Linked DNA regions of Xenopus tropicalis. The protein of the gene in region 2 purifies or fractionates together with the protein of the main gene of each other region. This does not show direct contact. Links are inferred from orthologs where the notes say so. Each region holds a gene or a part of one and is shown on either strand. Other genes may lie near its edges.

Region 1 (4,304 bases), on a different chromosome or scaffold from region 2:
CGTATTTTCTCTTCCAGTTCACTCTGAACGGTGTCATAAAGCAACAGCTTTTCACTCTGAAATGAAGTTTGATGCATAGTTTATTATTTACCAAGTGTTTTTGTTTTTTTAGCAAAAACGTGCAGATTTTTTTTTTTTTTTTGCTGGCTGAGCATTTAGTTCTACTGCAGTATAAATGTAACAATCTAAATCTCATGATGCCATAGAGAAGTCTAATACAGTTCTGCATCATGGCTATATTTTGTTTTGCTTAACTAAATTGAGTAGAACACAGATTTCATATTTTCCTGGAATGGGCAATATTTTTCCTGGTCACACACAGGCAAACTGCGCTTTCTCCTTTCTGAATTTTATGTTTTCCTCAGAATTTACATTGTTTTGAAGTAGTCCACTGGGAAATGTAAAATTCAGTTATACTGTAAATGCAATACAAAGTATTAAAAAAAGCAATCCCTAAAGGTGACTGCACATGGTGGCACCAAGAGTGATGGCATATGTGATATTTTGTCACCAGTGCTAAATAACCTCAGCATGTACTGAAGTCAATTTGAATCCCTGCTGGTAAAACATTTGAATCATGTGAAAATACAATGGCAATCGATTTAAATGCATTACTGCCAGTGATTCAGATTAAATACAATGCCATAAAAGGCAGCTTAACTGTAAAGGTGTCACAAGTGGGCATATCTGGAGATTGTTCTGCAACTTTAAAATGGCACCTAAAATACTCCCTAATGTAAAGGAAGTTAAACAGGCATTGGGCTTATTAAACATTTAAAAAACATTCTTTTGTTGGTTCTTGATATACAATTTTGAAGGAATGTGAAGTTAATATAAATGGATAAACGTTTTATAACCAGGCACCGCAGCAATAGCTTCTCTGGGAATGCAAAACATTTACATGGCCCTGATGGCAAAGGCCTCCAAACTCAACATGGAAAGCAAACTTGTAAGCCCACAGAAACTCACTATGTTCCAAGAAAGTATTTCTGCTGCAAAATGTTAATTACATACATTTTATCTAAAGAATGTGTACCTCACAGTGTTGGCGTGCTGCTTGAATTTCACAGTCATGTTTGTTCTTCACAGACTCTAGGCACAGCTCACGATATATTCCTTAAAAAAAAGGAAACATTTTATCTTGCATTGTTATACATAGATATCCACTTAGAGTTCTTTAAAAAAAAAAAAAATAATATGCAGAAATAACACATACAAAATCACGCGCACACACACACACACGAGAAACACCACCACACAGGAGTACCAGCCATTTTGATCATAGTCAGCTCCTCTTGCCCTCACCAATGATGAGTTTTCATACCTGCCACTTTAGTTCTGATCTGCATGTTTTCCTGTAAATTTGCAAGGGGTTCCAGATATTCTGGTGCTTTGCCTGCTATTACCTCCTGCAGTTTGGCATCCACTTGGCTCAACCTCTCCTTGTAAAGTCTAGAAATAACAATAACAAGCGAAGGTCAATTCGCTAATAGTACATGTGACAGTACATAAGCTGCATAATGCTGTGCCTTAGAACAAATAGTTTCAATCTGGACTGGGATCCAAAATAGGCCCTGGCATTTCAAGTACACAAAGGGTCAAACAATCCCCCCCCCCCCCCCCACCAAACATTCACTATTTATGGTATCTTACAAGCAGCCCCTCTGGCATTTGCCAGAATCCAAAGCGTACCAGTCAGGACATGCTTTCAATTTTGTCTCCTTACCAAATTCTAAGGGGCACATTTACTAATCCATGAATCTGAATGGGAAAAAAAATCGGATTGGAAACTAAAATGTTGCGACTTTTTCGTTGCTGTTTTTTCGTTTTTTCGTATAGATATCAAAATAGCACTCAAGAGTAAAAAATCCAAGTCCAGCTTGGGACTCCTCCAGTTACATGGGAGTAGGAGAAACAATGGGTTATCTGAAAGCAGTTCTAACATGTAGCACTGGCTCCTTCCGAAAGCTCAGAATCAGGCACAATGACTGACATGACTGCGGACAGACCAATATCAGTAAGTTGCTGGACTTTGCATTTGTAAAGAAGACCAAACAGATACAAAGACAGTTTTATATTAAATCACTGAGTAGGAGGAGGTTCTCTTTATGGCATTTATACCGCAATATCCATCCTGTGACAACTGCCACAAGTGCCTACTTACTGATCTTTGAGATCTGTAAACTGTTTTTCAAGGTTAGACATTTCGTCCAAACATTCCATTCTGCGTCTTTCACAGTCTTCATCATCCATCTCTGCAAGATAAGAATTAAAGGACTAGGAAAGTCAAAATCTATTAAGCACACGATTAAATAGTACTACTATTGCTGTGTAAAAACACTATATTTCTGGCTTGCCCAATGAAACATTTACAGAGATACACATACTAGAACCTACATACTTGTTTCAGTGAACGGCGCCGCCATCTTGTCCAGCATGTCACAGAGTGTCCCCCCCCACCCCACAGCATGTCACAGTGTCCTCCGCTCCGTTCACCGCTCACCTGCCACAAACCCCCCCCATAGCATGTCAGAGATCATCCTCCGCCGGCAGCACCCCCCCCCCCCCCCCGCTCGCAGCTTGGCGGCTACTCGCATCTGCCATACAACGCTGCACTGTCAGGAAGAGATATACTCACCCACCCCCATTCCCCGCCGCTCCCCGCTCCTGCCACAAACCCTCCGCCGCTCCCCGCACTCGCACCCCCGCTCCCCCCACCTGCATGTCAGAGTTCTCTGTCGCTGCGTCGCCATGGCAACCAGACGCTCCTGCTGTGTGCGCATGCGCCGCCTAAGGTAACAAGTCGCCAAGTCTGGGAAGGAGCGATGCATTATGAGAATCTTCTCTACCCTGCTCAGCGTTTTTTTTTCCTGTTTGGCTTCTGATCTTCTGAACAGGTGAAGTATGGGGAGACTTAAGGGCACTATTGAGACAACTGAAGGTATGCCTGCAGCTTGAGATTAACACTTTATTAGCCTTTCCTTCTCCTTTAAACAAGAATGGTCAAAGCACTATATCCAAAGTAGTCTAATGATCTAATACTGTAGAGCAGTGCTGTCCAACTGGCGGCACGCGACCCCCCTCTGTGTGGCCCCACACCTGTTTGTGTCACTGTATGCTGCCTGTGTGTGCCATACACACAGGCAGCATAGGGCAGGTAGAGTATGGCACACACAGGCAGGGTAGGGCAGGCAGAGTATGGCACACACAGGCAGGGTAGGGCAGGCAGAGTATGGCACACAGGCAGCATAGGGCAGGCAGAGTATGGTACACAGGCAGGGTAGGGAAGGCAGAGTATGGCACACACAGGCAGGGTAGGGCAGGCAGAGTATGGCACACACAGGCAAGGTAGGGCAGGCAGAGTATGGCACACACAGGCAAGGTAGGGCAGGCAGAGTATGGCACACACAGGCAAGGTAGGGCAGGCAGAGTATGGCACACACAGGCAAGGTAGGGCAGGCAGAGTATGGCATACACAGGCAGGGTAGGGAAGGCAGAGTATGGCAGGTTTTTGCTGTGCTATCACCGTTAATATGGCTATGGCCATGCAATAACATAGGTGTGGTTTCAAGTGGGTGTGGTTTTAAAAAGGGGACTGGTCAAAACTGGCTTCCATTATCGGCCCTCCACCATGTAGGCCGGAAAAATTATGGCCCTTGGTACCACAAAAGTTGGACAGCACTGCTGTAGAGAATTGGCTACACAACAAAAATAAATATACTTTTAAAAGTACCATCACAAGCAAGAGAATGTTATCAAATATTCACCATGGTAGAAGTTGCTTTAAAGGGGCAGTATATCTCCTTGGTTCAATGTGAGTACAATAATTTTGGCTTGTGACAAAGATATTTTTTCCTATTGTTTTAGTTACAGAAAAATCTATGATTTTGTTTTTTCTTGAGTTAAACAGGCAAACAGAGAGATTGAGCCTACTCCATGTTTGGTCTTTGTGAAGTAGATAATTAGATTACCACCATATAATCCTCTCCATTCACCACTATACCTGTTTTGTTAGCAGGAGTCCATTATGCAAGGGGGGGGGGGGGGGAGGGGATTATATGTGCACTGGAAATCTAAATGATCTCCCTTGCTAGGACCAACCATAGAGTAGCTTCAATTTCCCCATTTGCCTTGTTTAGCTCAAGGAATTACAAAATATGTAGACGCTTGTGATTAAAACAATAGGCAAAAAGTATGTTTGGCATAAGCCCCATTCAAAGAACTCATGTTGAACAAAGGGGTACACCTCCCCATTTAAAGAAGAACAATGCCTTTTATATAAACATATGTAATTTTCCCAATTA
Region 2 (4,304 bases):
TTTGCAGAAGGCCAAAATAATAGACCTCTTCCACACTTTTCTTATCTAAATGCTTACTTTTTTCAACATTGTTTTTAATAAGTTTTCCAAAAGTAAATGCTTACTTTGTTAATTGATGGCCTATTTGGACATTAGTCTAGTTTACTTGAACTGCATGTGAAAAACAGATGTAAGATCTATTCGAGAACATAATATGATGTAGTTATACATTGCCAGCCAGCCAGCTACAATGCCCAGGACAATACAATGTTATGTATGTACTAAAATGTACTTACCTCTAAAAAAGATACCTAAGTGTGTAAGCGCATATACAAATAAGTATTGAACTAATTTATGATGCAAGATGAGTGCTTTAGAAGGTTACTTCTCTAGATTCATAACTGGGCAGTAAATATGAAATCAGTTATTAACCATGATTCTTCAGGCTGGATCTGGAAAAAGTAGTTAGACCAGCAATGTGAAAATGCTCTGGAGCACAGTGGGAATCCTGGCTAAAGCCACAGCTGGGTGGCAAAGCCATAAGAGCCAACAAACCCATAGTACTAGCAACACGAGTGAAGAGTTCATCACAAAACGCTGCATTGTGGAGAAAGAACCCATGAAAGTGTATTTTCACACATGTGGTCAAACTACCTGTGATCTGTCTGGGGCATGAGACCCATTAATCACATCTTAAAGGAATAACAGTTCAAACCACTTTAGTGAATACCTATAGGTTCTTCCAAGAGATGCTAAATTGTTATAATAACACCATGCAATTGTTCAATGATAAACTAGTCAGGATATATCAAACTCACCTGTCTAACAATGCTCTGAATCAACTTATCCATAGTAAAGGCAATAAAGGCATGGATAGTAAACATCTCTCGCAGAGAATCTTCATACTGATTGGAGTCCATGTTCCCATCAAGCAAGTTCCGAACCATGTCTAGGAATGCTGGGTAATAATCCTCAGCCTCTATGTCCACTAAGGGAGGATAGAAAAAGTGTGCTTAACCACAAAACCCAATGTATCTTTTGTAAACAGGTTTTTTTAAATCTCTGGATACAGATTATATATTTCTCTTCCCCACTGGAGAGCACCAAGGAACCATAAGTTATAGACAGGTCCCCTTAAGGTTATGTACAGTGTGACTTGGCCACTGATCCACATAAAGGAAATGTTATGCTAGTCCATATCTCAACTGAAAGAAACATTTGCGAGTGTATCTGAATGCACAGTTTCTTCTATGGATGCTCACAGTGTGGCGTTGTGGTTTGCAGTGGCTCCAGGCAAAAGTACAGTGTGGTCATGCCACTGTCTGCGACAGTACTGTGTCCTCCACTTGAAGAGCAGGCTGTGTCAGTCCCACAGCTCAAGTATAGATAACATTTTTAAGGGGATACACGCCCTGTTTGTACAGTATTGTTGATGACAGTTTAAAGAATAAATCAACATAAAAGAAGTTGGAGGCGGATGGTAAAAGAGAAAACAACAGAGAGAGGGAAAGTAGTCAGGAGGCTATTACTGGTAGATACTTTGCATAGCTAATCATAATTCCAGATGCTCAGGAGAAAAAAATGCATGTTTTAAATTATATAAAAATATTCTACTTTATAGTAACATTTCTGTTTACTTACTTGGTTCTTTTAATCGCAGTTGGATAGCTGGGCTGTCATTTTTGTCCCTCTTCAGACCCAGTACCTCTCTTTCCCATTCCCTTTCTCTCATCTCTTCCTCCACTTGTTTTTCTGCCTGGTTGTAGATGCGAAGAAGTCGGGAGCATAGTATCTGATGTAGGCGAAGGAATATGTACCAGTTATTGTTCACATAAAAAAGGTTGTATGCATCCTCCACACCGCGCCACTTCTGTGCTGCTGTATTTCCAAACATCAGCTTAGCCTTTGGAGGACTACTACCCCCACCAACCCCCACTCCATTATGTTTTTTTGTAACCCCATCTTCAGTCTCAGCTGTTTCTTCCTCTTCTTCTTCCTCTACATCAGAGAGCTCTCCCCGCTGGGAAAAAAGTAAATCTGGGATGAAGTGATAGACAATCTGTTTTATCTTATATTTGTCCTCCTTTTGTATGCCAGTCTGTCGTTTTACATGGTGGATGATAAGTGAGGCTGCATCTTCCAGTATCTGTTTGTCATCATAAGTGAGTGTGAGGTGTGGGCCAGAAGAGATCCCAGAATTGTCTTCTGAAGCTTGTTCCTGCCGCTGAAGAAGAATTATAGCGAAGAACCAACTGTTAATTTGCTCAACAGAATACGATTACAGAATGGTTAAAAGAGCTGAACTGACTGCTAAAAAATTAAAAAGCTACAAACAGCTGCTATTGTGAAAAACAAAAAAAATCCATGAAATGTAGTGACAGAATGTCAATAATGTAATGTATCACACAGCTCAGTGCAAACTACTTTCTTGTTGTGTTGTTAGTGATAGCCTATGCAAAGTTTACTATATATATATAACTTCCATCTTGTTGTTTCTTTTTAAGACGTAATTTTACATTTTTAGAACATTTCAAGTTGTCAAACATACAATAAAGAAAATAAATTTGAACGATATAATTATAGCAAACCAAATTAAACATTAGAGGATCTTTGTGTGTTTTGAGTAAACCCCTGTATATAATACACATGTACAGAAGATGTGGAAAATGGAGAATTAGTAATTACTAAATTTTAGCTACATCTCCAAACAAGCAGACCAGATCTCATATGTTCCTTTTCTGGTTTAATAGTTTCTGCCAAAAAGGCAGGCTATCCAGAAACCATTCATGCTGCTTTTGGATTCTATATTAAACTAATTTTAAAGAAATTATATGGTAGCCCTACACCGAATGAATACTGCACCTCAAATAGACAATATAAAACGTATTGTACAGCGCGGCGGAATATGCTGGCACTTTATAAATAAATGTTAATAATAATACAAATAGCAGGCAGTGTCACACAGTAAACATTAACAAAGCTATTATAAAAAAAAAAAAAAAAATCAACCATACCAAAAGGACAGCAGTACTTTCCATTGCCTCAGAGCACCTTCCTCCAAACACCTTTTGCATCACTGGAACCTCATCATATGGACACTTCATCCTTTGATGAAGTGTCCAATGATACAATGTTTATCCATACATTCCAGAACTTCATTAATCAGATTTTAAAGAGCTATGTTGAAATAAACGGAGCCACATACATACAAGATTATTATGCAAGTCTCCCTCTTTTATGAAATGTGTATAAATGTTACTGGTATAAACAGTACACTATGGGGCATATTTATTATAGTGTGTAAGCCAACAATACCAGTGATGTTGCCAAGACCAACTAATCAGCATTTAGATGCTTACCTCGTCATATATGCTCTCAATCTCATTAAGGAGACTCTTGGAACGCAACACCTTTGTATCAATCTGTTTGTAATTGATGCCCTGATGATCTAGAGATTTAAGATAGTACTTTTCGTTTTGTTCCCGCCAGATCTTATTAAACCCACGTTGTGCTTCCCGCCACTCCTCCTCCTTCATTTTCAACCTTAAAGACAGGGTAGATAATGAAAGCTAAAATTTAACAGAGAAATTTCATAATTTTACATGCAAAACTCAGAAATAATTAAATAATGTATTTTCACTTTTTGGCTTATTTATATTATATTATATTATATATATTTCACCTCTAAATCTCATTGTAACTGGTCTTCTGGACAACCATAGGCTTATTTATCAACATTTGAGTTTGTTTTTTAAATCGAATAAACTTGCATATTAAAATAGAAAAATTCAAGTTTTGAAATATGGCTCACACTGACTTCTATAGAAACTCAGATGCCAAACTTTAAATTTAATACCAGACGTTCGGGTTTTTAAAACATAATTTGAATTTTTTTTTTTTTGAACCGCGAAAAGAAAATGAAACTTGAATATTGGTAAATCTCAACCTAACACTGCCTCTGATCCACCCAAATCCTGACATTTCCCGACAAATCCTGACATTTCAAAGCAGTTCAGGCTCCCCTGCTTGTCCTTACCAAAGTCCCCAAAGGCAGCTTAGCATTTTATTGCCCTTATATGATCCAACTCTGTTTAGCATTTTATTGACCTTTTGAAATCACATTTGCAAGGCACTTACCTCTTTAGAACAATGGGTACAGCGACAGCAGGGTTTTTCTTTAGACCATCTATTATATCGGCAGCTTTGTCTGCATATATCCTCTGCAGAGCCTTGCGGTGGATGACCTCAGATGTTCCTCCAAGTGTATTGTCCAGCCTGAATTTGGCCTGGTCCTCTGCAGAAAGCCGTGAAAGTTTCTTCTGGAT
Region 3 (4,886 bases), on a different chromosome or scaffold from region 2:
GGGCCCCCGGAGAGCTACAGAGTGAGGCAAAGGCTTGAAGATTCTTCCATTAGAGAGTGCACTCTAGAGTGTAGAGCGTTCACAGTCCAGGCAGCAGCTCCAAGCATTTACTTTACAGAACTCTGTGTGAGTAAGCCTATACAGTGGTACTGAAAACACTGGAATAGCCCAAACTATTTAATTCCTATTTAAGTAGCTATTCAGATGATTTCCAAGCTTCATAACACATTCATGCTATATAAATAAAAACTAAAGAAGAGAAGCCTTAAAAAAGGTCAATACAAGCCTAAGAATGATTAGCTCTGAAATGGGAACTATTACAAAAATGAAAATTTAATTTGTGTTTTATGTCATGGAAGTAAGAAACTTTCGAAAGATAATCAATAATGACACCGACTGCTAAGAGGAGGATAATGAAGTGTAATTTGATTATTTCAGAAATAGGTACAGAATTTTAAATTGATTATTCTTAGAATATTTATTATTTCCATGAGATGAAGCTTAACTACATTTTGAGTATGTGAAAGTTCCCCTATTACTAGTTACTTATAGTTATATCCAGTAGCTTGACCGAACCATTGAAAGATTGAACCTAAAGCCAGTTCGACATCCTATTATATATATTCAGTAGAGGCTACTCCTTTAGCTTAGAGCAGCGGTTCTCAACCTGTGGGTCGGGACCCCTTTGGGGGTCGAACGACCTTTTCACAGGGGTCGCCTAAGACATTCGGAAAACACATATTTCCAATGGTCTTAGGAATAATTTTATAGTCACCACAACATGAGGAACTGTATTAAAGGGTTGCGGCATTAGGAAGGTTGAGAACCACTGGTTTAGAGGAATTTTCATTTGAATTTTAAGCAGCGTAGGTTGTTCTTTAAGGTGAGGGCAGTGAGGTTGTGAAATGTCCTGCCAGGTGATGTTGTGATGGCAGATTCTGTTACTGCCTTGGGGCTTGGATGATTTTCCACATTAGCTTAATATCAAAGTTTATTTTGATACTATAAATCTAGAATTAGTATAGATATTGTTATATATTGTTTATATATGTGAGTGTATATATAGGTCTGTATAAGTATGTGTTCACTTAAAACACTTCAAATTTGGTTATAAATCGCAGTATATTTAACCACCAGGCACTGGTGATAGAGGTGAGAATAATGGAGGCCAAAACTAAAAGATAAGTCATTTTTTAAAAATATATATTTCTCACTCTTTAAGCGTTTAAAAGAAAATTTCTGAAGTGAGCAAGGGTTACCATGGACAGGGGCAGAAGTGAGCCCAAAAAAACAGATGCACAAGACATAGACTTTCTGAACATCTCTTTAAAGGGGTGGTTCACCTTTTAGTTAACTTTTAGTATGTTATAGAATGGCCAATTCTAAGCAACTTTTCAATTGCCCTTTATTTTTTCTTTGTTTATCTTATTCTTCTGAATATTTCCAGCTTTCAAATGGGTGTCCCAGACCCCATCTAAAAAACGAATGCTCTTTAAGGCTACAAATTTATTGTTATTGCTACATTTTATCACTAACCTTTCTATTCAGACCCTCACCTACTGTATTTGTATTCCAGTCTTTCATTCAAATAAGTGCAGGGTTGCTAGGGTAATTTGGGCCCTGGCAACCAGACTGCTGAAATGGCAAACTGGAAAGCTGCAAAATAAGAAGCCAAATAACTCCAAAAAACCACAAACAATAAAAAATAAAGACCAATTTCAAATTGTTTTAGAATATCACTCTCTACATCATACTAAAAGTAAATTTAAATGTGAACCATCTTACCTGGGTTGAACAGAAGCATCCCTTTGAGGTAAGCATATTCCTTTGTGCTGATGTCTAAGTTCCAGAGTTTGTATAGAAACCGCTGAATTCTTTGAACTTCTATTGCTGGAACTCCTCTATCAGATCTCAGTGCAATGTCACTGACATTCGCATACTGATTTAGAAGAATTTTCTTTAATAAACTGGGAACAGAATGTTCTTGTAGTTCAAAATTCACCCTTTCCTGGGCAAGACCTAAAACAAAAAGTGGAGCCCAGCAGTTCTGTACAAGAAGAATCTGATCCTCCTGGGGCAGCTGATAGAAGGATGGTACATTTCTAATGAATGCCACAGTTTTTAGTAGTACTTCTGATGCTGTCTTGCAAGTCACCTCAGGGTTCTTCAGAGACACTCTTCTGTTGCCTTCACAAGGGCATTCTCTAGCCAAGGAGCAGATGTGACTGCGGTTGTCATTTGGGCTCTTAGTCTCTGAATGAATCCCTTTGTTAAGCATCTGAAAAAGAATACTGTTAACTGGATCTCTGTTACAGTGACATTTTCCTAACTTTTCAGATATGCAAGCCATTTCCGTGTTGCATACACTGGGGGATAAACACATGAGCCGATATACAGTGCCTCACACATAAAGAAAAGCAGTAGTTCTGCCAAACTAGTAGGTGATTGGATCTTTTATATACTCAGCAAGTTGAACAGTAATGTGACTGCGTGTGCTAAAATTCCCTTGAACTTTATTCCTACTAGACTGTTTTCATTCACAACTGAGCAAGGCGTGGTTTAGCCCACAGTATCTAAAGGAGCTGGAATTATCTGAATGAGGGAGCTGGTTACTGATAGGAACTGAACAATGAGTAAAGTGTTGTTTACCGTTCCCTGTCACTGTGATATGGTGGAAAGCAGTGCCATGATATCAAGGACACTTACCAAGCTGCCAACTGTGATACATTTACAGTGGCAATTCTATGTTTTTAGCTTGTCCTTGAAAAATCACAATATAAAATTTAATTTGACACGATAAAGCCATTTATCAGCTTTTTTTTTAAAACAGCACAGAATGACTTTATTTGAAGGGTGCATTCACTTACCTAGATGCAGTGTGCAAAGTGCACCGCCATATTTGTTTCCCACAGTGCGCAAACAGCGATTCTCTTGATGCAGTTGTGCTGTGCCTATTGGTTCAGAGCACTGAAGAATCCTGAAGCTAATGCCTTGTCAGGAGGTGGCAGTAGCTCCAGGGTTCCCCTGCGTCAATAGGCACAGCAGCGCCTTCTAGGTAGGAATCAGGCGGGGGCAAGAATTGACAGACAAGTGCAGGAGGGGGCAGGGAATGCGTCATAGTGTAGGGATGACGTGTAGGGATGACACGTGGTCGGGAAGGGTACGTTTGCTACTCTGTGCTGTGCCCTTCTAACGATTTTTGTTTTGCAGGGGGCCTAGCACAGAGTACTTACACCACTAGATTTAAAAATGCTTTTCTTCCTGAAGCTTGCAATATCAGCATGATTACACACTCCTACATGCATTGATACTGTAGCCTCAGAAACTAAAAATAACCTCTTCAGTCCATTCTTATCAGGTTGTTTAATACTTGTTAACCCTTTCACTGCCAGCCGTTTTTGACAAAGTGGAACTTCTACTGCCATACAGTTTTTGAACATTTTGCACTGTTTCACTTTAGGGGCCTTTCCTCGGGAAAACAATATATTGTTTTTTTCAGGATGGCTAAAATATGGTAGAATTTTTGTGTAATTCCGATTCTGTAACAAGATATAGGCTTCTAAATGTCTAAAAAATGAAAAAAAAATATTTTCCATAATATAAACACATACACCAGAAACAAAAAGTATTTTATGCATGAAAATACAACTGATTTGGAAAGTCCCATGTCTCCTGAACGTGCCAATACCAAATATATATAGTTTTATGGAGATTTCTCAGTTGTATACTGTAGGTCAAAAACTCCCAGCAGTACACTACCAAATTTCCAAAGCACTGCTCCAGAAAGCTGAATACTTTTTAGTATTTAAGGCCAAAATTCCACTAACAGAAGGTTTATCCCAGAAAACTATACATTTTTAGAAAGAACAGATTCTGGGGAATCCAGAATAGGCACAACTGTCTGTCTACTCCAAACTACCAAGTTGCAATGCTTTCCTAAAGTTATTGTTTTTACAGTTTGATGTCCAATATGTATAGGTTTACCTAAGTATTTGGCATGTAGGGGCCCCAATGGGAACATACCCCCATATGATCAATCATTTGTCATTTCAGCTTCTGCAAAATCAACACTTACATCATTATATGTGGGATAAAGCTAGTAAAAAGTACATTCACCCCAGAAAATCATATATTTTTGGAAAGTACACATTCCCCCGAATCTAAAATGGGTACCCGTGTCTTCTACTCTAAAGTACCAAGCCGCAAAGCTTTCCTAAAGTTGGAAATTTTGAAAAAGCCACTCAAAGCTTCCAGTTTCCAGCATCTTATCTCCCACTTATCATTAGGTACCAAGAGGGGTCCAGGGGTCCACTGAACAGTTTGATGCCCAATATGTATAGGTTTACCTAAGTATGTGGCATATAGGGGCCCCAATGTGAACATACCCCCATATGATCTATCATTTCAGCTTCTGCAAAATCAACACATTTACATCATTATATGTGGGATAACGCTAGTAAAACATATGCTCACCCCAGAAAGTCATATATTTTTGGAAAGTACACTTTCCCCCGAATCTAAAATGGGTACCCATGTCTTTCTACTCCAAAGTACCAAGCCGCGAAGCTTTCCTAAGTTTGACGATTTTTATGGCATTTCCAAAAATCACCTCAAGTGATTTTCCCTCAAATAGGAACACCATAGGTCTACTGAACAGTTTGATGCCCAATATGCATAGATATACCAAAGTCTGTGGTGTGTACTGACCCCAAAAAGAAAATAGTGCATAAGGATTTCTCGCCAACTCAGCTTTTGCACACAGAGCCCCCTGACAGCATATTATGTGCCGTATCACCCCCTAACTATACAGAGACCCCCAGAAAACCTTATATTTTTGGAAAGTACACATTCTGACAAATCTAACATGAGTAAAGAGTCCTTTCTAC
Region 4 (4,304 bases), on a different chromosome or scaffold from region 2:
TCCCACTGTTTCAGTCAGTATGTGTATGTAATTAGTATGTTTGATGTATATACCCTTCTGCTGTACAGTGATACTTGATAACAATTATAATGATATGAAGTCCCAACAGAATGCCTGTGGTTTTTGTTGACTTCATGGAAATGAGTCATAAGTGACCTAAGTGGAGTGATGCAGTAATTCAACCCACACAGACAATACCAGGCATTAAGTGCAACAGAACAAGCGGCAACTGATAAGATAATGGTCCATATATAACATCAACAACAAAGTCATATGATAATGATTTGATGGAGTGTGCTATGTGAAATGACTATTACATTATACGGATCTAAATTCTCCCTGATGCTGAATATCTGATATAAATATAAGGAATATAAGGAACACACCTTGTTTAGGTGAAGCTGCTGCTGCTGGAATTGCTGTTTGTGCTTCTCCAGGAATTGCTGGTGCTGTTGTTGGATGACCAGGTGTTGCAGGGCATGTGAATTCTGTGGGAGTGGAGCAGATTGAGTACGACCTAAAGGACGGTGCTGACGTAACTTGTGCATGGTAGGGGATACACGATCAGGTGACACAAGAGACTGGGAGTGAAGTGGTAGGGTCCCCAAACCTAAAAGAAATAACACCATTCAATATCAGTCAGTACTAAACAGTTAAAATACGCACAGTTTTAGGCCTCCTATGCTTTACCTGATATCAATGAACTCTGCGCACCAGGCTGTTCTAGTAGTACCATATGCTGTAAGAGCTGATTATGAGAGCTTGTGGCCTCAGGTCCAAGGTAAGAAGTGAGGTGAGCAGCTGGAAACAGGGAAAGCCGTTGTTGTAGAGCAGGCAGAGGAAGGCATTCGTTTTCCTGTCCTGATCCACCCTAAAAAGTGACATGGGTAGTTAAGAAAACATTTTTATTCCAAACTGTGATCCCATGGTAGGAAAAACACAGGTAACATAGCTACTAAGGGAGGTATGCTTTTCCATATTTAAAAGAAGGTTCACTCTAAAATGAACTTTACATTTTCATGCTCAGTTCTTCTTTAAATACCAATTAGTTTCAAACAAATTATATAAAAATAGTTGCGTATTCCCTAAAAATAATTTGGCAGATCACAATCTACCTACACTACAAGGCTTGATCAAAAATTAAAGACAACATTAACTGGGACAAATCCCTCCTGTTTCCCATAGACTACTTCCCCCTGCCAGACTTACCCCCTGAAATGGGTAACTTCCTTCAAGTACCTGGGCATTGTGATCCACCAGGACACTACCCAATATGCTCAATTGAACCTCCAACCAATTATCAGATCCATGACCGATGACTTCACACATTGCTCCAAACTCCCTCTCACTCTATGGGGCCTTATCAACATGTTCAAAATGATATACCTAGCCAAATTTCTATACACCCTTCTTAACTCACCCACGGTACTTCCCAAAAACTTCTTCAAGCAAATAAATAAAATTCTAATACCTTCCATATGGAACAATAAATCACCAAGAATGGCCTGGGGAAAGCTGACTGCCCCATACAGTGATGGAGGCTTAGCCCTCCCAAACCTGTACTTGTACTATTGTGCCTCGCAACTGTATTACCTACATTGGTACTTCCTCCCAGATCCACACAATCCAAATTGGCTTTTACAATCACTTCCTTTGGAATCCATAGCTGGGCTTCAAAACTTCCCATATCGCCACATAAACGGCATTGGCCCTCTGCTCCCCACACTTGTCAGCCCATACAAAGCATGGCAAATGGCTATTAAGCTCCTGGGCAACCCTCCGCCACTGCTCTTCCCTAAACTCCCCCTGTGGGGCTACTCGCACCTAGACTCTTTCAGACAACTCCAAAATTTCATTTTTTGGCCTCAAATAGGATTGAAATACCTTGGGGATCTTACCCTAGACACAAATTTCCCCACCTACCAAGACATCTCCCAAAAAATACACCCAACATCATAATCCACTCTACCAATATCTACAACTCAGGCACGCATTCAAGGCCCAATTTTCATCTCTCCAACCAGCAATCTGCATCACTCCACTAGAAGAGACCTTTCACTCACCAGACAACTCCAAAATGATCTTGAGGTTATACCAAACCATACTAAACTTAGTCCCGCAACCCTTTGCCCTTGCAAGGGACCAATGGACCCAGGTAATACCAGACATAACCCATGAGGACTGGGAGGAAGCAACAGAGAATTGCTACAACTTCTTAATATCCACCAGAGATAAACTCGTCCAGTATAAAATTCTACACCAAACCTACATTACCCCCATTTTACTCCTTAAAATTGGGAAAATGATGGATGATTCCTGTCCTAGGTGTGGACAAACAAATGCAAACTTCTTCCATATGATATGGGTATGTCCACCAATAGCCAACTCTTCAGGCAAAACATTATGCCATCATGCAAATGATTTTGAGTTCCCTCACATAATGTCAACTAAAATTTGCCTTCTGGGTATCTATCTTAGATGATATCATTCCAACCAACTATGCTCGCAAGAGGTACTGGTCATTGCTACACTATGCTAAGAAAGATATTGCGATGCACTGGGTGGGAGCTACCTCACCTAGTGTCCTCTCATGGCAACAACTAGTCAATAAGGCGATACCACTTATAAAGCTTACCTCAGGGGTCAGGGCTCCCCAGAACAAATTTAAATGTATCTGGTCACCATGGTTGTACTCAGGATGCTATTTTTCTCTGTACCACTTTGTACTTGCTATAACCTGCACTTAAACTATACTTATTCCAATGATTGTACATTTTATAGACCTGGAACCTATACGTATATCAATGTTTTGTTTTTGTATTATAAAACAATAAAAAAAATTGACCTTTAAAAAAAAAAAAATTAAAGACAACATTAGTTGAGGGCCACCATCAAAAATTATATAGTCAGCATAGAACTAAATAGGCTCAAAGGAATTAGGTCATACATGTATTTTCAAATCACCAGGCTGATATGGAGTAAACTGTCATGCACATACCCACAGTTATTTTAATTGAAAATTAAAGTTCTATTCTAAGTAAGACTATTTTTTTTAATTTAGTGGTGGATACAACTGTCTGTAGAGGACAATACACTGTTTGCAATTTTTTGTGATTTAAATTATTTAGATTCTCCAGTCTGGAAATTCAACAGCTAGCTGGTTGCTTGGGTAGGTACAGTTTATCATACTAGGCAGATGTTTGAATGAGAACCTACAAGACCCTAGTAAGGAGGCAGTGGTTTAAATGAGAGCCTGGAAGGTTAAAAAAATCAAATTAAATACAACAAATATTTTAAAAAAGTAAAAACAACAACAAAATTGTAGCCTCACCAAGCAATTATTCTCTGGCTACCAGGTTTAATATGATTTTTAAACTGTACTTTTGTCTTTTGTACATTTCATTTCCTCCCCATAGTAGACCAAGTCTCTACCCACCACTAATATTTGTTATTCCAGAATCCTTTGAGACAGGTGTACTTACATTGGTAGAACCACTAGCAGGCAGTCCTAGCGTAATATTGGGTAAAGAGGGTGATGTGTATAGAGGGAGCTGCGATACTGAGTTCTCCCTGTTCGCAAGTCTGTGAGCCAGTGAAGCCTGAAGTAAAATGTATAGATAAATTGAAAAAAACAAGAAGGAAACATATTGATAAAGAATATCAGAAACATAAAACAGAGAAACGGCAGTATATAATCAATATGTTATTTCACATCAAATAAAAGTGTTTTTCCCCAGTTACCTCTGTCTGGATTCCTAAAGGACCAGCTATGCCATTTTCTGAACTGATGTTACTTGAACTATTGTTTGGAGAGCTTGGACCAGAGCCTGGAGCACTGTTACATGCAGAATCTATACAGAAAAAAAAAAAAAAATTAGTATGTGCTCATTTTGCTAAATAAACAGGGCCTGTTGCCTAGGATGCTTGAATTTGATACCTATAGGTACACTGGTCATCATTTTACACAGCAGAAACACTGTCTTATTTATAGTACAAAAAACTCAAACCACATCATATGCATTTGTTTTCTAAAATCCATAATTGGATTAGCATTTGTGGTGCTTAAGTAATGTGTGAAAAGTTAATAGCAATAGATGCAGATGTTGCTGGGAAGAAAAAATAAGAAGAGAGGGCCTAAAGGGGGTCTTTTTACCGAATAACAGAATTTCAAATGTTCGCAAAACAAATCATTTTTGAAGGTTTGCATGATTGGGACCCCGTAACTTCTAGTTATCCCAACACAACTTGAAACAAGAAACCAGCCTCATACAGTGTGCATCTTTAGGTTGCTGAAAGTCATATAT
Region 5 (5,062 bases), on a different chromosome or scaffold from region 2:
ATTTAAATGGCTGCCCCCATAGCTACACAGCAGGGTATTTAAATAACTGCAGTAGTATTTATGAAGAAAATACACAACTTTTACCAGTGCAGAGCAATAGTATATAATATATGAATTATTTTTACACACTTTAATTTTTTTGTGTTACTGTTCCTTTAAATTTAATGGCTGCCGAGCATGGACAGCCTGCTTCAAATCATCCCATAGATTTTCAATGATATTCAAGTCGGGGGACTGTGACGGCCATTCCATAATATGGAATAAATGCCTTTGTAGATTTCCAACTGTGTTTAGGGTCATTGTCTTGTTGGAATATCAACTTTGTGAATGATGTTTGAACATTATCCTGAAGAATTTGTTGTTATTGGGATGAATTCATCTGACCCTTGACTGTAACAAGGGCCCCAGTCGCTGAACTAGCCACACAGCCCCACAGCATGATGGAACCTCCACCAAATTTGACAGTGTTCTTTTTGTTATGACCAAATAATTTTTGTCTCATCAGTCCAAAGCATTTTGTTCCAAAATGACTGTGACTTGTCTAAATGAGCTTTTGCATACAACAAGTGACTGTTTTTGGCATGAGTGCAGAAAGGGCTTCTTTCTCATCACCCTGCCATACAGATGTATGAATTGTATAACGATGTACAGATTCACCATCTACAGCAAGATGTTCTTGCAGGTCTTTGGAGGTGATCTTTGGGTTGTCTGTTACCATTCTCCCAAGCCTCTGCATATGCCACTCCTGTATTCTTCTTGGCCTGCCAGATCTGGGTTTTACAGCAACTGTGCCTGTGGCCTTCCATTTCCTGATTACATTCCTTTCAGTTGAAACTGACAGTTTAAACCTCTGAGATGGCTTTCTGTAGCCTTTCCCTAAACCACACTGTCACTCTTCAGAGGAGACTCTAACAGAAGCACAACTTGCAATTGGCCACCTTAAATACCTTTTCTCATGATTGGACACACCTGCCTATGAAGTTCAAGGCTTAACGAGCTAACCGATTTGGTGTTGCCAGTAATAAGTATTGAGCAGTTACATGCATTCAAATTAGCAAAATTACAAGGGTACCCAAATTTTTGCACAGCCAGTGCATGATTTAATTTCATACAACTAAATACTGCTTCACTAAAAATCTTTGTTCAGATTACACCCCAGTACTCAGATGTTCCTAGGAAATGAAAGACATACCACTGTTATCTTTTTTGTTAAAAGTGGAGTAAACTATTATGCAGGCTGAGAGGGGTTCCCAAATGTTTCATATGACTAAAAACCTCAAATGTGTGCCTCACTCACCTGAGGTAGGTTGGTGGTTCTGTGCTAATAGAGACTGCTTTATATTTCTCATCATTCCCATCAAGGATCTCTTCAACTTCTGAAGCTTTTAAGAGAGTAACACTGGTAGCTAAAGTGGTATATCCATGATCTAAGGAGGAAGAAAACAGCAATATGTAAAAGGTTTAAAAACTTTATACTTAAAGTAGTTCGGTTACATTAAAACAAGAAATTATGAATGTGGCAAACTAAGGGAGGTCATCTTAAAATTATAGTAGAAACAATGTTAATTGCCAAAAGCTGGTTGAAAATAGCTTAGATTAGGTATTCTTAGACAATCTGAAATGGTTTACATTTTTGTGAATTTTGAATTCTGTAAAGCTGTCCTAGCATGGCCAGCTTTGGTTGGCAGATCTGGACCCTTCAGCCCAACTGTCTGAGCATGCATGACAGGTTGGGGTGGGTTTCAACAGACCATTGTGCAACAGAACAGGATGTGTCCAGCTGGCACATCCCACCAGATGAAACCAGCCTGGACCTATCCGAGTTATGTTCTCAATACTAGATGTACAAGGTCTGAGGTATAGGTTAAAAGTTGTAAATTGAAAGCACGTCGCAACTAAAAGAATCTGTAGAAGGGCAAATGAGGTAGTTGATATTTTTGTTGTAAAATATATGTTGAATAGATGGTATTTATAATGTGGCCACCTAGGTATTTGAGCCTGTGATGATTCCAGGAAAAAATCCTGGAGATATCAAATATATGTTTCCCCACAATGGTAGCCGGGGAATAATAGTGGTGGGGGATGGCCCAGTAATTTAAGGTAGAGAGGGTATTTGCAGTTGCGGGGCATCCTTGGAGTCGGTAGTGAAAGCTATGCAGGTGCTTGTAGATTGTAAGCTCTTTTGGGCAGGGCCCTCTTCACCTCTTGTATCGGTTACTGATTGCTTTATATGTTACTCTTTATGTCCAATGTATGTAACCCACTTATTGTACAGCGCTGAGGAATATGTTGGCACTTTATAAATAAATGTTAATGTAATGTAATGTGTTCCACAGAGGCCAGAAATATCCCACGGAAGCAAGTATTTGGGTTATAAGGTTCTAGAACAAAGCACCATTGGAGATAGTAGACTTGCAAATCCAGATAGTACAGGTAAAAATTCGGAAATCCCAGGGCTGCCATAGACAACTGGTGCATTCAACTTAATCCAAGCTGTTCTTTCACCAGACAAACCAGGTAAAAAAAACTACTAATATTTACATTTCTTTCCATGAGAAGACGCTACTATTTTCTTCCTCTCTTCTACTGTTGCCAACCGTCTCCAAAGGGAAGGGTACCGTTTATATAATGATCCCCTGAACATGCGCAAGTAATTTCCCACCTGTAAATAAAAGACAAAGTATTTAAGAGTCAAAACAATAATACGTTTTCAGGCTGCAAAATTTGGTCACAGACCCAAATATAATGTGTACACCTTGAAGTGACAGCATACAATGAGGCGCTACACAACACAGCAGGCCTCCAGAAAGGAGGATTTAGGGGAAAGGTAGGAGTTGCAGCCTATTTCTATTACAGATGTTTTGTTTACCTCATGCTTTCTGTTGCTGCACTTCTAACCAGTCAGCTGCACTTTCAAATTCATCCCCCATTGGCCACCTCTCCCTTCACCAGTGCGTTCAACTTGTAGGTCTAGCTGCTTTAAAACTACTAGCACTTCCTTCATTCTGGGAGTGATGAGAGCTGTAGTGAAACAAGGGCCCGCCGGTTGGATATACCACTCTTTTTTATCTAACTAATAACCCGCCCCCCTTTTGTTATTGTTTTGGTTTTTTTCTTTTACACGCATGAAGATTTACAGAAACCTTGGTCTCGCCCACAACAGTGCCTGTAACAAAGAAGGAATCCTTTGTCCCAAACCCCTTTCTCCCCCACGTTTGTATTACGCAGCTTCAGCGGAGATGTTTAACGTTTGCCCTGGACTCGTACCTCGGATCCTATCATGTAGTATTCTCCATCCTCTTCCAATTGAAATTTCACTGGCTTTTGGCCAAACGTTTTACTTAACGCCATGATCATCCTGCCTCCGTTCCAACACCGGGCCCACCGAACAGCGCATGTGCCAACTACGTAGTACACGAAGCGCAGGCGTCAAGGGAACTGCATAAAGCGCATGCGCGGCGTTTCAGCGCACAACTTATAGCTGCCTGCGGGCGTAGTTTGGTTGTACGCTGACTAAAGTAGCGGCTTCGTAAAATAGTTTTACTTAGTATTTTTATTAGTGCGGAAATACTAAAGATCAGCCAAGGGTTGCCACTTTTTCTAGAAAAAAAAATACCGGCCTTTTAATATTTTGGAACCCGAAACCCACAGTGGACATTAACGTTTAAAGGAACAGTAACACCAAAATATGAAAGTGTTTTAAAGTAATTAAAATGTAATGTACTGTTGCCCTGCACTGGTAAAACTGGTGTATTTGCTACAGAACGCTCCTATAGTTTATATAAATAAGCTGCTGTGTAGCCCCGGGGGCAGCCATTCAAGCTGGAAAAAAGGAGAAAAGGCACAGGTTACATAGCAGATAACAAACTGTGTAGAATACAATGGCATTTGATCTGTTATCTGCTAAGTAACCTGTGCCTTTTTTCATTCGAATGGCTACACAGCAGCTTTGCTTATATAAACTATAATAGTCTTTCTGAGGCAAACACACCAGTTATACCAGTGCAGGGTAACAGTGCATTATATTGTAATTACTTTAATACACTTTCATATTTTGATGTTACTGTTCCTTTAATGATATGTTTAGTATGCACGGCAGCTCATGTCTTGAGAGGGACCTTGGTGCAAAGTTTGCAACCATGCCCATGGGGTAGTAGTTACACCACTCAACAATAGGCCATTGGCAGCCCTCAAACCGAGTATGGACTGGATCGGCAGGGCCCTGGCCCTTGTAGGCTGTCCTGACCCAGTTTTGCTCCCTCCTATAACTAGGTGCTGGCCCACAGTCCTTTTATCACAGTTGTAAGGAGAAAATGCAGTAGGGGGACGGGGTTTGATGTCGCAACTGGGATGGAGGGTCCCCAGGTGGCAGTCCCATTGGGCCCCCGGCCGCCCCAGTCCAACCCTGCCCTAACAAGCAATTAAGGGCTATGAAATAGACCTGCTGCAACGTTCCCTCATTACTTTTTGGCTTTGTGTGCAAAAAACTTGTGTGCATACATTTTAAACTTGTGTGCACGTTTTTAAAAACTGCTCAGGTAAAAATAAATACAAAATTGTTGTGTGTGAGCGCACTGCTTATAGGGAACATTGTTCTGCAGAGATGCCAACTGACCTCAGGTTATAAGATAAGATAATGATCCAATCCTGGATATTTCATTTTACATAGTATTTTCAGCTGGCTGTGAAACACCTAAACCAGATGAGAAGCATGTAATTAATATTAATGGAAACATTAATTTGGATGAAATAGCCCAGGATCCTTTCAAGGATTTTGGCACTTCTCTGCTGGCTGAGAAAAGGCCGGCCACTAGCACAGCAATAAGTGAATGCCATAATTTTTCATGCACACATGCACAAACTAATATAGGTTTTATTTCTCCTGACCCAAATTCCTTGGCTTTAAAACTCTTTGTTCTACTTGCAAATTGATTATACAGTCTTGAAAGTAGGATAGGACATTTGTGTTTTCTATTTGCAGGATTAATTCTTTACAGTATACAAAACCAAGGTCCTTTAGCCATTCCTCAGATTTTACTTGCCGGTGAGAGTGCTAAATATC
Region 6 (3,938 bases), on a different chromosome or scaffold from region 2:
CGGTAGATAAATTCTCCGACTCCTCAGTTTGATACTTCCGACTCCTCTGTTTTTAATATGCTAATGTATTTATACATTCATACAGTCAATGAAAAGCTTTATGGTCACTCACGTGGGCTTTATTCTTATAGCAGAGAAGTCATTAATTATGACTGTTTGTGAATTGGGACATTTAAACTTGCTTTATTTTTTTTTTTATTCCCATTTAAATTTAGTGGGAGTCAGAGTCGGTTCATTTTTTGCCGACTCCGACTCCAGGTACCCAAAATTGCCTCCGACTCCACAGCCCTGGTTATTATACCTAGATTTAAAGCACAGCCCTTACTACAGATGAGGGATATAGTATTTTTCTATTTAATCTCACATACAGAGAGCTTTGGGCCCAGCTCTGGGTGCAGACCCAGGTGCATGCTGGGGGAACGTGCATGTTTAAAATAAAGTAAATGCCCCAGCTCATTTATTATGCATGTGATGGGGAGGGGGGGCATAACAAGTAAACTGGGGTGCATGTATGTGCCCCAACTTGGTCACCCCCACCGCAAGCTTCCTTCCGGTGTAGGAGTCAGAGCACCCATTCAAAAATCCTTTTGTTTCTGGAGCACATGCTCTGTTAACCTGCACCACTGGTGGGAAAAGAAAATATTTTAGGCAATAGATGCCCTTTCAGAGGAAAATACATTCTGTCTAATCTTTTCATTACTAATTTATTATTATAAAGCAACAGGTCACCTCTCGCGCAATAAACTGAGTTAGTTTAACATGAAATAATATAAACAGCCAAATCCTTTGCTGGCTTCCACACGGGCAGAATCCTATTATGCAGGGAGTATACAGTATACAGGCAATTGTAATCTAACAAGAACCAGGAGGAACTTAGAAACACAGTCATGTATAAGGCTAAAACTGAAATATAAAAACCATACAAGTTTCATAATTAAAATGGTCAATAAGCATGTATATATGAAGTTGGGTACCACAGAACTGCAGTATGCGTATGAATGCTGGTTGCAGCAGATACAATTTAACTGGCTTAACACCAACTGCATGTTTACTTCTTGAACTGAAGAAGCTGCTCGGATGAGTAGTGAAACGTCTTCAATGATTACCAAACAAGTCCAGTTGCTTCAAATTTATTTATACTAGATATACCATGACCTGGATGAATGAAAATCTTCATAGACTTCTTGAGACATATAACTAACAGCTACAATTAAATATCTGTCACACCAAAACTTAAATTACCTAAAACAATACTAATTTTTGTTGCATAAAGAAACTTTCTGCAGACTCTTTACCTGGCATGGTGACCATGGGTGTTCCTGCCCAGAGCACATCCATGCCAGTGGTGTGCCCATTGCAGAGAGGTGTATCTAAGCAAACATCAGCCAACTGTCCTCTGCGCACATGTTCTTCCTTAGGAGCAACTGGAGAGAAAATGATCCGGGACTGGGGAAGGCCCATATTCTGTGCGTACTGCTGGATATTTGGCTCCCCAACTGCTGGGAATCTTAATAGCCACAGAACACTGTTTGGGACACGCTTTAAAATCTAGGACAAACAAAAAGTTTCAAATGGAAGATGTTAAGCAGTGCATAAGGATAAGAAATAGTTGACTGTGTTTAGATAAAGTGTCACATGACATCCCTGTCACCATTTACTGAGAAAACATGATAATGATGTATCACTGTAAGGTATGGCAAGCTATCAGCAACACATCTAGATAGAATCTGCTCTTCCTGTATAGCAAGTTTGATCAAAATGTGATCCAACATAGTACATATATTTGGCATTAAGTAAATCCACAGGGTGTGGGTGTTGCTGACCCTTGTGGTCAAAAAACAATTGCTCTTTGAGGCTACATTTACCCGATACATACACTAGACAACCTACACACAAGGGTTTGGCCAAAAATGCTGTTATTTTCCCCTAGCTGTGCCTTTCACTAACCAAAAGGTATAAAACAGAACCTTAATTGATGGCAGTTGTATAACACAATATACTTACATTTGCCCACATCTGTAATGTGGAAGGGTCAATCTTGTAAAGCTGGTTAAAGTTGCAGTACACAACCGCATCCTCAGGGAGTCCATACTGTGAGCGTGTGGTGACAATGATGGTACGAGGCACTTCTTCACCTGTCGCCGCTTTGTTATTTATCTAAAATATTCAAATCACTTTGTTATGCCATCTTTTTCAACATTTTTTGCCTATTGTTTTAATTAGAAAATAATAAGTAAAGTAACTTCCGGTTCAACAAATCAGAACCCCACTCTGACAGCAGTCAGCCTCAGCCTTCACTGGGAACACTTTAACAATTAAATGAACACCAATAGTCCAAGTTGTAAACACACGGAGTGGTGTTCATAATCAGAATAAGCTATACAATGACTCAAATTCCAGGCTTGCTTCTTTTTGAAGCAGATCCACACTTATAGGTAAGAACATTATACTTATACTATATATTTAGCCATCATTTATATTACATTCCACATCACTTTGTTAAATTTACCTGGGTTGTTGCAAGACCATTGCTGATGTTGAATCCATTTATTGTTATCTGAATTTGCCCCCGATTTATCATTTCAATCACAGCTTCTGCTATGCTGCTCATAGGAATCACTGGCATGTTTAGTGCAGAGTTATTGTCAACATTATCTCCGCTGTCTGGGCCTTTCATCTTTTGGAAGGGGGGAAAAAAATTTTTTTTTAAGAAAGCAAGGAGGCAAAGAAAACAACTATACCTCAAAAATAGCAATATCCTATACTATGGGCAGCTAAATGTCAAACTTTTGAATTAGGGTCATATTATAAACATTCTAGTTTATACAATCTCTTGGTACCCACAACTACTGTTTTTATGCCATACCTGACCACTACCTCCCCCGCTATCATAATATGGCTATATTCACTTAAAAGGCAAGGTAAGGACATAATCAATAGAAGGCAATACAGACCTTACAGAACATTTCACACATCAGGATTTACATTTGGACTTCCTCAACATGGTAAAGTACATTAAATGCAATTAAAATAGTTTTTCCATAAAAGCAAAGAATGGTGCTTGATAAAAATCTAAAGTTAACTCTCACCTTTACAATTTTCACATCAGGTAAAGATTCCAGGAAAGCTTTCAGATCAATTCCATTGAGTACGATTCTATTGTCATAAATATGGCCATTGGATTTAAAGTCTATGACAGCTTTTTTCTGGGGAAACAAGATTTAGTTTAGTTGATTAAAGACTGTTTGTAAAGTATGGAAGGCATTTCTAAGAATACGACTACTACTAAAAAAATTAAAAAACGTTTTATTTTTTTAGTAGTAGTCGTATTCTTAGAAATGCCTTCCATACTTTACAAACAACTACTAAAAAAATAAAAAAGGAGATTTTGTGATACTCACCGTTAAATCTCTTTCTCCTCAATGGCTTGGGGGACACAGGGACAGTGGGTATAGCTCCACCTGCAGGAGGCAGGACACTAGGTAGGAATTAATAAAAAAAAGGAATGCTCCTCCCCTTCAGCTATACCCCACAGCGCAGCCCAGAGAGGCTCAGTTTTGTCTAACAAAGAGGTAACCAAAGTAACCATAAACAAACCGTTATAACAATGTAACATAAAAACATGGCAGATGGCGCAAAGAGGATTCCGCTTCCGGGGAGGGGAGCCCTGTGTCCCCCAAGCCATTGAGGAGAAAGAGATTTAACGGTGAGTATCACAAAATCTCCTTTTCTCACACAATAGCTTGGGGGACACAGGGACAGTGGGGACATACCAAAGCAGTCCCCTGAGCATAATGAGCGGTGGGCAGGAAGCGGAGTCGGAGTTAGACTGCCGCTGCTTGCAGCACCTTGCGTCCAAAGCGTGCGTCAGATGCAGCAAATGCGTCAAATTTGTAGAACTTAACGAAGGAATGGATGGAGGTCCACGTGGCAGCCTT
Region 7 (3,595 bases), on a different chromosome or scaffold from region 2:
CGTTGGATCGGGGACCACATCAGCTTGTTGATAGAGTCCTCTGTCCAATGGACCTTATACCCGCCATTTAAATGGCCAAATGATCAAATTGGCCCGATATCGCCCACCTTAAGACACCATCATTTACAGAGTCAATATACCAAATTGATCAAGTCCTTTTGGTTACATATGCTACACCTTGTATTATATATATTTATTTATTCCATTTGCATCTGTGGAATAGAATTAGCCGCTTGCAGACATTTTGACTTTGTGACCAGCACTCTTGCAACTTAATTAGTTTCCATTTGTGCCAGTTTCCCCTTTAAATGTTCATCCCACCCCCCCTTTCCCCCCGCAGGCCTTGCAGATTTCTTTTGGTTGGTGCTAGAGAGCAGGGCAGTGAAAGGGCCACGGTCAGCCACTAACAATATGTGCAAGTAAATCCACCATTTATTTACTCATACAAACTGGTTATCCCAAAACACTGCAACAAACTGTTGCTCAGAAATAAAATAACAGGAATATTAGGAGTTATAGGAAGCTCATATATGCAACAATTACTAGTAAAAAGAAACAGTTCTAAAACTGATAACTTACCTCTCTGGAAAATAGGTAATACCAGAGGTAACCCATTTCAAACCTCCAGAACAATGGATCTGTGTGTTTAAAACCACCTTGTTGCCAGTTGAGATGGTACAGCCCCCCCCCCCACTGGCAAACCTGGCACAAATCACACAGCCCTTAAGTGCTGCCCACGTGGCTGTCACCCCATCGTCAGAGAGCACAGCACAGTCTCTTTCAGAATAGTATTTTGTGTTTTATTATACGACAAAGCGTTCTGTATTAAAAAGAATGGAGGTAGGGTGCCTGTCCTTTTAGGTGACACCCCTTTGGGCCCCCAGGCAGTGTGTGGGGGGGGGGGGGGAGGGAGGGACTGGAGCAAATAAAATTAAAGACAAACAAAAAAAAAAAACCAAAAAAAAAAAAAAAAACCAAAGTATTTCCTTCTGAATTCAGGAAGCAACTTGCTCCTACGCACAGGGAGAGTTTCTGGCCTTTGGGGTGTTTGATGTGACCCTGAACCCTGCCCCCCAAGGAAGGGGTGGACCCCAATGCGAAGCAGCAGCACCAATATGATCTGCCTTTAGGCTTGTGCAGTCACAGTGACACCTTGCAGTTCCAGGATCCTCCTGTGACATGTATCCTTTGCTTATCATCCGGGGCTCGCTTTCAGCTCTGCTGAGTCTTTTCCCCAGGATATGATTTGGTGGCATGTCCAGTGCCTACACCCAGGTCTCTGCTTCTGGTTGGGAATGTTTGAGGTGGGGTAGATGCTCCGACCTCCTGACCAGAGGAGGGGTTTATGTTATTGCTGAGTTATCTGCTGGACAGAAAGAAAGGCAAGACCATTATTGTACAGTCAAGTGGTGAAAATAGGGTACAAGACCAATGACGCAGCACTGAGCATTTACCTGCTGGGGTTGAGGCTCGCCTCCTCTGCTTGCCAGCCGGCTCAGAATGTTCCTCTCTGACATCTGTAATCGCACGGCCACGGGAGGGATTCGGGCGATGGTGGCTGGGAGACGGGTGACATCTGCCTTCATGTCGCTTAGAAGTTCCTCCAACTGCTTCAAGACTAAGGAGAGACATCAAATGAAACAAATGCTGGAGTTTTTCTACCATTTTTGCCCAATGCAGGGCATAAATTTTTTTTTTTTATAGCAACTTATTTTATTGCTGGCCGGTAGTGTACGTGAGTAGCCTTAGACAAAGGGATATACAAAGTCAATAGAAAGAGAAAAAAGGCATCTGTACCTTTGTGTAGCACTGCATTTGCTGGTTTGTTCCCTGCCATTGACTCCTTGGAGAGGTGCTGGTGACTCTCTGCCAAGCACTCAACTTCAGCAAATCTTGTGTTCAGAGCCATAGATGGATGGGAGGGGTCCTCGGACATATTCAAGTATGCTGCTCGCCTGAGCTGCTCCTCTATTACAAGAGCCTGTTCCAAAAGCTATAGATAGAAAGGGTAGGGGGAGTTAGATTGATAGAACAGCTTAAGGGAGAGAATATAATAAAGCATTAAAGTAACTGATTTCTGACAAACCTTAAATCTACGAGCCAAAAATTTGTTCTTGATCTCCAAAAAGTTGCCCCTGTTCACCTCTCCCTTGAAGGGTTCATTGAGGATGGCATACCGCACGTCGTTCTGGATGTCCTGCCAGCGTGCATATCCATGGCTGTTGCGATGCTCAGGAAAAGTGTGGGCAGTGATATGAAAGTGCCAGACAGCTAAACATTCAAACATTATACCCAGCCCTCATTATATACAAGGCTGTATGTTGTCACAAAAAACTTAACCAGACACATCAATGGGCTGAAACACAAACTGTGTGCATAGCAACACCAGACCAAAAGGATACGTTATGATTCCTGACAACAGCCAATAGTCATGCCTTCTGTGCCAGATCTCATAGGTCTTCTTTGTAACTGTGGCTGCTCTCTCTTCGTTCTGCCACAAGGAGTGCAGTTCTGGAGGAAAACACCACATGAGTTTCCAGAGCTACATTACAATTCTCCTGCAAGATATAGCTTTGCCCCTTACATTACACTATTTAGTCATCCCAAAACAAAGATCTCCTTTGTCCCTTGTAATCTGAATATATTATATCTCAATCCCATTCTTCCCAGAGTTTATGTTTCCATTATATACTTATTGTACAGCGCTGTGGAATATGTTGGCGCTTTATATATAAATGTTAATAATAATATACTGAATGTGAATCCCTATTCATTACAGTCTGTACTAAAGAAACATCCAGTTTTTAGCAGCCCTGTGCCTTCCGCTGCCCACATTACCTGTAAAGCCACCATCTGCAATGTTGAACATGAACCTCTGTTTTGCAGCAGCAGCTGACGCTTTCTTGGTTTTCTCCTCAGCTGTCTCTTTGGGTGTCTCACCATTCTGAAGAGTGACTTCCTGTACATCATCTGTAAAACAGGCCATACATGAAAACCAAGGTTACACATGGACTGTAGAACCATTTACAAGTTAAGCATGGCTGCTTAGTACTTTACTCACCTTTCTTGTCATCCAAAGTGATCACCTCATCTACCTTCTCAGGCTCTGCTGTAATAAAAACAGGAAAAAGGAGTGTGAGCAGTGCTTCAGTATCGCAAAACTACCGCTTCAGGCAATAAAATGAAGGCCACTTACGTTTCTGGTCTGTTTCCATGGGCTCAGTAGCTGGTGGTGGTGGTGGCGGAGGTGGCGAGGTTTTCTCTTGTTTTACTGGTTCTTCTTTCTTCTCTTCCGTCTGAGCAGCTGGAGAGCGTGCTTCTTGGGCAGGCTGTGCTGACTGGAGAACAGAATATAAGTTTGGAGCTTATTAGTAAGAGAAAGGGAATCGGGAGCGCAATTTTGTACAAGGGAAGTGGAGTTGGAATATAGAAGTGTAGGGCCCAGATGATATATGACAGCATTAAGGTGAAATCACAAGGAATGGGGCTCTGCATGGGACAATAGTAACCTCACCTCATTATTCTCTTCAGTGGCCTTCACTTCAGCATCTGGTGTTTCTTCCTTTACAGGCACCTCCTCACTCTTTGTACTGTC

Evidence for each region.
Region 1: the proteins of sin3a (region 2) and brms1l purify together in Homo sapiens (affinity purification with mass spectrometry; 3 studies listed by BioGRID, with this or other methods). This does not show direct contact. The link is inferred for Xenopus tropicalis from reciprocal best matches to the Homo sapiens genes SIN3A and BRMS1L.
Region 3: the proteins of sin3a (region 2) and nr0b2 purify together in Homo sapiens (affinity purification with western blotting; 3 studies listed by BioGRID). This does not show direct contact. The link is inferred for Xenopus tropicalis from reciprocal best matches to the Homo sapiens genes SIN3A and NR0B2.
Region 4: the proteins of sin3a (region 2) and hdac4 purify together in Homo sapiens (affinity purification with western blotting; 3 studies listed by BioGRID and IntAct, with this or other methods). This does not show direct contact. The link is inferred for Xenopus tropicalis from reciprocal best matches to the Homo sapiens genes SIN3A and HDAC4.
Region 5: the proteins of sin3a (region 2) and smarcb1 purify together in Homo sapiens (affinity purification with western blotting; 3 studies listed by BioGRID, with this or other methods). This does not show direct contact. The link is inferred for Xenopus tropicalis from reciprocal best matches to the Homo sapiens genes SIN3A and SMARCB1.
Region 6: the proteins of sin3a (region 2) and ogt purify together in Homo sapiens (affinity purification with western blotting; 4 studies listed by BioGRID, with this or other methods). This does not show direct contact. The link is inferred for Xenopus tropicalis from reciprocal best matches to the Homo sapiens genes SIN3A and OGT.
Region 7: the proteins of sin3a (region 2) and chd4 purify together in Homo sapiens (affinity purification with mass spectrometry; 3 studies listed by BioGRID, with this or other methods). This does not show direct contact. The link is inferred for Xenopus tropicalis from reciprocal best matches to the Homo sapiens genes SIN3A and CHD4.

Annotation. Positions count from the first base shown.
Region 1 is NC_030684.2:108,271,652-108,275,955, reverse strand, and holds part of brms1l (breast cancer metastasis-suppressor 1-like protein), read right to left. Parts: intron 2,256-4,304; coding exon 2,165-2,255; intron 1,453-2,164; coding exon 1,325-1,452; intron 1,117-1,324; coding exon 1,037-1,116; intron 57-1,036; coding exon 1-56. UniProt on the Homo sapiens protein: Involved in the histone deacetylase (HDAC1)-dependent transcriptional repression activity. When overexpressed in lung cancer cell line that lacks p53/TP53 expression, inhibits cell growth.
Region 2 is NC_030679.2:93,410,999-93,415,302, reverse strand, and holds part of sin3a (paired amphipathic helix protein Sin3a), read right to left. Parts: coding exon 4,117-4,304; intron 3,523-4,116; coding exon 3,339-3,522; intron 2,204-3,338; coding exon 1,621-2,203; intron 968-1,620; coding exon 798-967; intron 1-797. UniProt on the Homo sapiens protein: Acts as a transcriptional repressor. Corepressor for REST. Interacts with MXI1 to repress MYC responsive genes and antagonize MYC oncogenic activities. Also interacts with MXD1-MAX heterodimers to repress transcription by tethering SIN3A to DNA.
Region 3 is NC_030681.2:89,464,261-89,469,146, forward strand, and holds the start of nr0b2 (nuclear receptor subfamily 0 group B member 2), read right to left. Parts: upstream 3,409-4,886; 5' UTR 2,384-3,408; coding exon 1,786-2,383; intron 1-1,785. UniProt on the Homo sapiens protein: Transcriptional regulator that acts as a negative regulator of receptor-dependent signaling pathways. Specifically inhibits transactivation of the nuclear receptor with which it interacts.
Region 4 is NC_030685.2:60,784,059-60,788,362, forward strand, and holds part of hdac4 (histone deacetylase 4), read right to left. Parts: intron 3,852-4,304; coding exon 3,742-3,851; intron 3,600-3,741; coding exon 3,483-3,599; intron 872-3,482; coding exon 691-871; intron 611-690; coding exon 387-610; intron 1-386. UniProt on the Homo sapiens protein: Responsible for the deacetylation of lysine residues on the N-terminal part of the core histones (H2A, H2B, H3 and H4).
Region 5 is NC_030677.2:153,167,719-153,172,780, forward strand, and holds the start of smarcb1 (SWI/SNF-related matrix-associated actin-dependent regulator of chromatin subfamily B member 1), read right to left. Parts: upstream 3,360-5,062; 5' UTR 3,358-3,359; coding exon 3,268-3,357; intron 2,663-3,267; coding exon 2,542-2,662; intron 1,428-2,541; coding exon 1,298-1,427; intron 1-1,297.
Region 6 is NC_030684.2:44,060,768-44,064,705, forward strand, and holds part of ogt (UDP-N-acetylglucosamine--peptide N-acetylglucosaminyltransferase 110 kDa subunit), read right to left. Parts: intron 3,207-3,938; coding exon 3,090-3,206; intron 2,678-3,089; coding exon 2,510-2,677; intron 2,158-2,509; coding exon 2,005-2,157; intron 1,549-2,004; coding exon 1,296-1,548; intron 1-1,295. UniProt on the Homo sapiens protein: Catalyzes the transfer of a single N-acetylglucosamine from UDP-GlcNAc to a serine or threonine residue in cytoplasmic and nuclear proteins resulting in their modification with a beta-linked N-acetylglucosamine (O-GlcNAc).
Region 7 is NC_030683.2:10,064,756-10,068,350, forward strand, and holds the end of chd4 (chromodomain-helicase-DNA-binding protein 4), read right to left. Parts: coding exon 3,515-3,595; intron 3,339-3,514; coding exon 3,197-3,338; intron 3,110-3,196; coding exon 3,062-3,109; intron 2,971-3,061; coding exon 2,839-2,970; intron 2,512-2,838; coding exon 2,403-2,511; intron 2,220-2,402; coding exon 2,087-2,219; intron 1,994-2,086; coding exon 1,798-1,993; intron 1,619-1,797; coding exon 1,455-1,618; intron 1,367-1,454; coding exon of another isoform or gene 1,364-1,366; coding exon 1,349-1,363; 3' UTR 779-1,348; downstream 1-778. UniProt on the Homo sapiens protein: ATP-dependent chromatin-remodeling factor that binds and distorts nucleosomal DNA. Acts as a component of the histone deacetylase NuRD complex which participates in the remodeling of chromatin.